Caenorhabditis elegans: one gene and its partner. The protein of the gene in region 1 interacts with the protein of each later gene in a pairwise test. Each region holds a gene or a part of one and is shown on either strand. Other genes may lie near its edges.

Region 1 (3,755 bases):
CACACGTTCTGTGCTCTTTTGTCTCTTGTTTACACGTCTGTTGTCTCTCGGACTTTATTTACGAAATGCTGCGTCTCTCCTGCCCTTCTCTCTCTCTCTCTCTATTGCGCCCAGAGACCACACTTTTATTGCCATTGTCGTCGTCGTCGTCGGAAATTTTCTCGCTTTTTCATCTTCTTCTTCTAAATAATCATGTTTTTAAAATTCAATTTTAATTTCAGGAACCACCGAAAAGCCACCACCAGCAAAAAATGTCCGCCGAAGAGCCAAAGTCCTACGTGAGTTTCGTTTCTAACGGTGTTGTAACAACAACAAAAAAGAAAAGAATAGAAAAAAAACCGTATCAGTACGGGGGTGATGAAAGTGCGGCGGCGGCCCCAGTCAAGCGTAAGAAATAATGAAAAAGAAAGGACAGAAACTTTTGGAGAATTTGCCCGTTTCTGTAAGTGTCACCTCTATAGTTCACCACCGATGTTTGGACTACTACTACTACGTGTTGAATCAGAAGGAAGATCAGACGCCGCAAAAAATATATTTGTTGATAGTTGATTTCGAAATTGTAGTTCTTGACACTGATGATTGATCGTTAAGTGAACAATTTTAAAGAAACGATTTTTGCATAACGTCCAGTTTGCAGCAATTCTACAGAATCAGGTTGAAAAGCTTCGAATTTAGAAACGTCTTCAGCTAAAGTGAGACCAAAATGTTTCCATCAAAAGCTCAAAAGGCATTTTTAATCTCTTTTTTCCAGCTTGAAACAATTTCCAGTTGATCTTTAAGATGCTTACCACTCGAATTTCAAATTGCTTCTGCAGTCTTCTATGTTAAGCCGTGTCTCATCATGAATGTCCTTTCTCTTCGATGTCTTGTGCCTTCTTGAAAATCTTCCGACGAGTAGTAACCTCCTTTTTCTCGAATATAGAACAACAAATGGCAGTTTGGCAATTTGGCAATTTGGACAAAACACTAGTACACCATGAGAACCTGCCTAAGATCAATGCCACATTTTTTCTCGCCTTGGCCCTAGTTGTGCAACACCTTTTCAACGTTTGAAGCAGGGGTGGGCGGCAATTGCCGGTTTGCCGGAAATTTCAATTCCGGCAATTTTCCGATTTTCCGCAAATTTCAATTCCGGCAATTTTCCGATTTGCCGGAAATTTCAATTCCGGCAATTTGCCGATTTGCCGGAAAAAAATCGTTTGCCGCCCACCCCCTGGTTTTTGAAGTGCATTTCGAGCCTTTGAAGTTGAAGTTTGCACGTGACGCCCAGACTCGAAATGCGGTAAACAGTAATGCGAAGACGCAAATATTGAGCATGGATTTTGCTCCGAAAACTTTTGTTGTTTGAGTTTCAACAAATCATACAAAAAAAATTTCGAGCTGAAAACTGTACCAACACTCATTATCGATCTCTTCCTCTCCAGAAAGTTCCGTTCCTTTTTTCAATTTCACTGTTTTCTTCGCCTACAACGACACGATGAATCATGGCGAGAAGTCGTATGCGAGAGACTGTACGAGAAGTCGGAGACACAGACAGATGCACAAAAAGAAACATTTCAATGTCGCCTCGCGCACATGCTGTCACCCTCCCATAATTCCATGCTCTCTCTGACTCAATATTGGGCGGCGCTTGCGAATGTTATGACTGTTCAACTGTCTGGTTTCTCTCTCCTCTCACACTCTCAGCTTTTGTTGAAACTGTTTACCGGTCGTCAGTTCTTCGTTTGACTCGCGTCCTGAACGATCGCTTTCAGTTTTCCTCAGCTCAACTCTTTACACTAATGTCTTCCACTCCTCAATTCCTTCGCTGGTACGAGCAGAACAAGGTAAAGCATGCCTCTATACATGGGGGTGTCAGGCTGTCCCATGTTTGATCTACAAAAAAAAGCGGGAATTTTTTCTCCTGCAACTTTTCGGAGATCAAACTGACATGGGACATTCTGACACCAGCTCGAAAATGGAGAGCATTCCAAGTTTGTTGGTTGCCACTAAAGTGACACATTCCTCTCGTTATCTGCTCGCCCACACCTTCGGTTCCATTATCAACATTCGAGATTCCCGCCATATTTCTGGTGTGTTTGCTCGGCGGCACATCACAACAAAATTTTGTGCAAAATGGAGCAAAATGGAGCTAAAAAATAGAAAGCAACTAGACAATGTAGAAAAGGCATTTTTTGTCGTCGTCAGCTGTATGAAAGTCTGGGGAGCGCGAAGATTGGTGGATGCAGATTGGATAACAGCTCTTCCGCTTTTTCGGGTCTCGCTTCTTGCTCGCTTATTCTGTTCACCAGTGTGTGACACGCGAGGTCCCCCCCCCCCCCCAGCATATATTTCTACATGATTACCCTACTGAACATTTTAAAATGGCATATGGAAGAAGAAATGGTTCTAGAAAACTCTACTTATAAATCTATTACCGAAACACAAAATTCTGAGAATGCGTATCGCGCGACATATTTGACGCGCAAAATATCTCGTAGCGAAAACTACAGTAGTTCATTGTTCATTACATGACTACTGTAGCGCTTGTGTGTCGATTTACGGCATTTCACAAGCGCTACAGTAGGCATTTAAGGAGTTACTGTAGTTTTCGCTACGAGATATTTTGCGCGTCAAATATGTTGTGCAGTACGCATTATCAGAAAAATGTGTTCCCGTAATAATCCAATTAATTTTTTAAAAAATTAAAATTTTTAAATTTTTCAGCCAGTACCATACCGCTCAGTGCTCCAGGAGAAGTTCGAGCCCGGACAGACGCTCATCGTCAAGGGATCGACGATCGACGAGTCGCAACGCTTCACCATCAACCTTCACTCGAAGACCGCGGATTTCTCCGGAAACGATGTGCCACTCCACGTCTCTGTCCGCTTCGATGAGGGCAAAATTGTGCTCAACTCGTTCTCGAATGGAGAATGGGGAAAGGAAGAGCGCAAGTCGAACCCAATCAAGAAGGGAGACTCGTTCGACATTCGCATCCGTGCTCACGACGATCGCTTCCAGATCATCGTCGACCACAAGGAGTTCAAGGACTACGAGCACCGTCTGCCACTCTCCTCAATCTCTCACCTCTCGATTGACGGAGATCTCTACTTGAACCACGTTCACTGGGGAGGAAAGTACTACCCAGTACCATACGAGAGCGGACTCGCCAACGGACTTCCAGTCGGAAAGAGCCTCCTCGTCTTTGGAACCGTTGAGAAGAAGGCCAAGCGCTTCCACGTCAACCTTCTCCGCAAGAATGGAGACATCTCGTTCCACTTCAACCCACGTTTCGATGAGAAGGTAAGGGTTGATATATGCCACGAGGCACCACAGAAAGGAGAACCACGACAAAGGAGAACAGGAACCACGTCCATTTTTCCGTGCCGCGAGAGGCACCACATTTTCAGGATCTGGAACCGTACCAACTGCGGTTTTTGCAGTTTTCTCTCGATGAAAAACGAAACAACGATGCTCCGATGTTATGCGTGTTGTTTAGCGTTTTCCAAAAGTTTTTATTTCAAAAAAACATTATTCTGAACGCTAAACAACACGCGACGCGTCATATCGGAGTATCGTTGTTTCGTTTTTCAGCGAGAGAAAACTGCAAAAACCGCAGTTGGCACGGTGCCCCAGATCCTGAAAACGTGGTGCCTCAAAATTTGCGGAAAACTTGCGGCACGGAAAAATGGGTGTGGTTTCTGTGTTCTCCTTGTTCACCTGTTCTCCTTTCTGTGGTGCCTCACACACACATACACAAAAAGACCCGCATTTTG
Region 2 (3,528 bases), on another chromosome or scaffold:
AACTGTGTTTATTTTAAAAATAACGAGATAGATATAGGTAGTATATAGCTAATATAGCTAACTTTAAGAAAACTTGATTAAAACAAAAATGTAATAGATGAGATTTAAAATTGCAATAGATAAAGAACACCCAAAACAATTGTCTCCCTTGTTTTCTTCTTCTGATTTTAATGGAAATGTCTACGGGACTCTCCTCCCTTTGTGCTTCGGCCGAATTGTCAAAGACGTAATAATAATAATCATAATAATAATAATAATTGATTTATTATTTTTTCCTATTTGAAGTATGAACAACATTGAATGAACAATTATTACAATTGAAAATAAAAATATGATAACCAGCATTGACTTCTTTGAGATTATTTTCACTTCGAATCGCGTTTCGATCATCTCTTGCCTGGTCGGACAATCTTGCATTGTAGTTCATCTCCATCATTCGCTGAAATATAATACTTGTGGTAAATTATTAATTATTGATTATTAGGTAAAGTATTAAACATTATTAATTAATAGAAAAAATAAATTTAAAAACCTTCATGAAATCATGTTGCCGGGAATTTTGCTTATCCAGCATTTCCGCCATCCGCAGTGTATTGTTGTCGCTCATTGTTTGGGTGTTGGAATTGTTTTCTGAATTATGCTTTACATTGAAATGAATATAACAAAATTCCGTTTAATTGTTTAAAAAAACACAATTTTTAGTAACCATCATTTAAATATAAAGTTTTAGTGTTTTACTAGAACATGTTGCAGGAAAATTAATGATACAAATGGGGTAAAAAATAAAGAGAATATAATGCTCCCTTGAGTGCAAGCTTCTTTTATACTGAGAGGACACATCAATTCCTCATGAATAATCAAAATATTGCTAACAATTAATTCCTCCTGTCAAGGAAAAGTTTTGAAAGAAATGTGCTCTTGAAAGTTAATTTTCATGTTCCTCAGATTTCATGACGCTTCGCGGTTAGTTTTTTGACAGGTTATGTTTCTTAGTTCTATAATTTTATTGAAATGCACTTTCTTCCGTATGAGGAATTGTGTTATCTTTCAATAATGTGGAGCAATATTTTTATTTATAAGGAATGCTCTTATCAGTTTAGTATAAATTGAAGAGCGGAGACCACGAATGTTCAGTTGTCTTACTTTCATTTATTTTTTTGAATTTTTCTCCGGCCAAAAGTATTTAACAAATAAAAGTTCTCTTGAAAGTTAATTTTCATATTCCTCAGTTTTCTTTTTCTATTTTTATAATTTTATTGGAAAATACTTTCCGTCCTGTTCCTAGCCCGTATAAGAACCTGTGTTATCTTCCAATAATTTGGAGCAATACTCCAGTTTATGAGGAATTTTCTTATCAGTATTAATAGAATGTCGGTGATCAGGAACGTTTAATTTTCTTACTGGCTAACGATTTTCAAAACTTAATTATAAATTGCAAGATTTTTTCACATTTTCTTTTTCAAGGTTTTTAAATTTTCAAACAAAGAATGCAAAACCTCAGTTTGTTTGAAAATTTTTGAAAGTGCTGGTTTTCAGTGTTCACAAACTTTGCCGCTCGCCAATATTTTCCAATTTTACCAATCGCCAAACTTGTCGTTCAGCAGTCACCCCTGTTCCTATCAACGCTGTTTTAGATAACAATGGAGCAAAACCATGATTCAAGAGGGACGGATCGCATAAGATTGTCCAATGTGCAGCAAAGAGATGGAAGTGTCAGTCATTTTTACCAGCATCAAGAAGGAACGGATATTCAGGTGCAAGTAAGAAGAGGCAGCGCAAAGTTGGATGGTCAGCGTGTACCTTTTCATAAACTCACAATAACCCCCGACATTCCTTATCGTGACCTCGGATTACGTCTAAAAGTAACTGGCAACAATGGACAGGGCATCTACCTTCGTAATGTTGAAACAAGCAGACATTCTGACCAAACCAGAAGCTCAGGAAGAGCACATACAGATGACCAGCGTTATTCGTTCACAATACCATCATACTATCCTTACCCTACCGGAGTATGTCTGAAAATTCCATACTCTGCCAAAGCTAAGAATGTTCAAATCAAGGTATTTGTAATAGTTAGAATGTAATTTTAATGGTATTCGTTTCAGATGAGAAGGAGTAAATCTCACAACTACAGAGAAGCTGATATAGTGGGACTCAATACGCCGAATCAACACATTGAAGCTCGTCGATTGAGCTTTGAGGAGTCTCAGCGAAGACTGCAAGATGAAGCTAGAATAGCCGAGCAAAGAAGATGGGAAAACACGCGGAGACAAAACGACCAAAGCATCAGAAATGTTTATGGGAGAGAATATGAAGCTGATAGCAGAAATAGTGGTGGGCACCATGAACGAAATGAGCAGCGGAGGGTAAGAAACAATTCGAGAATAGCCTCATAAAATTCTGTTAGCATCAAGGTCAGCCTTAAAAAAATCAGCCTAAATCTGATGTTTCAGTTTTTTCGACAAATCGTGTTTCTCTATTTTCTGAACAAATAACAATCTCATCAACAATCTTAACATTTCAATTTTTGGAACGACATTTAAATATAACTTTCCAGGAAAGGGAATGCATTATGGATCGGGAACCACGTTATACAAACGGATTCGATCAAATTGAAGTGAGTTTCATAAAATTGATATAATTATTGAAATAATTGTTAAGAGAACTATGAGAAATAACCGTGCGGCATTGGAGGCACAACACGCGGAAAGTGATGCACAGAGGAGGATGAGAGAAGAAGAAATCAAGAACACTTTTATTGGAAGATTTTAGTAAATATAAATCAATAAATAACCTTTTCTGGACTTTTTTCCTCTTTTTGATCTATTTTCTGTGTAGTTTTCATATGAGAGAATACGATTTTTAAATGAGAATAAAGAGGCAGTAATTCTAACAGTATATTTTTTGTGATATGGATTGCTTAGAGTTCAATATCTAGCAACTGCACGGTAGCACAGAAACTAGATGGATTGGTTCATGATACTCAGTCTGGAAATCTATATTGGCTACTATCTCGAAAACCATCACAAAATCGATTTTTCGATGCCTATCTTTATTTGTGATGAATTTTCGATTTTGTACTTCCTGGCCAAGTTATGCACGTTTATTCGGTGGAGCGCGTTTGCACCCATCTAGCAACTGAACCACCGTGACTGAACCACCGTGCGGCCGACACATCTGTGGTTCCGCGCCGCCCTACATTTCACGCCATTCAGATAAATGCGGCGACCTCATGGGAGTCATCATTCATAGAAAACCGTTGAATTTTTATGCCTTCAAACGATACTTCTTTGTTCAATCATTGCAAAACATATCTTTCCGATTTTATTCACTATCCGCCATTTACGGGCAATTTTTTTCCGTATTAAGTGCAAAATCGGTTTAAAAAACTCACAATCTCCCTCATATTGCGTTTTTTGTTTAACTTTATGAAATTAAGATAGACCGTATTACAATAGATTAAAAAAAAACGAAAAAAATAGATTTAGAGCCGCAAACAGTTGCCCGGCTTATTTTCATCTTCTGATT

The links. The genes of interacting proteins can lie anywhere in the genome.
Region 2: the proteins of lec-1 (region 1) and F26F2.3 interact in a two-hybrid assay, tested with the Caenorhabditis elegans proteins (2 studies listed by BioGRID).

What each region holds. Positions count from the first base shown.
Region 1 is NC_003280.10:13,195,328-13,199,082, forward strand, and holds the start of lec-1 (Galectin), read left to right. Parts: upstream 1-1,618; 5' UTR 1,619-1,781; coding exon 1,782-1,826; intron 1,827-2,706; coding exon 2,707-3,282; intron 3,283-3,755. UniProt on the Caenorhabditis elegans protein: Binds galactose.
Region 2 is NC_003283.11:20,564,654-20,568,181, reverse strand, and holds F26F2.3 (Transthyretin-like family protein), read left to right. Parts: upstream 1-1,627; 5' UTR 1,628-1,640; coding exon 1,641-2,060; intron 2,061-2,105; coding exon 2,106-2,366; intron 2,367-2,557; coding exon 2,558-2,617; intron 2,618-2,661; coding exon 2,662-2,772; 3' UTR 2,773-2,893; downstream 2,894-3,528. Other genes in the region: F26F2.9 (Transcription termination factor Rho), read right to left, coding at 266-439, 533-607; F26F2.13 (DUF305 domain-containing protein), read right to left, coding at 3,516-3,528.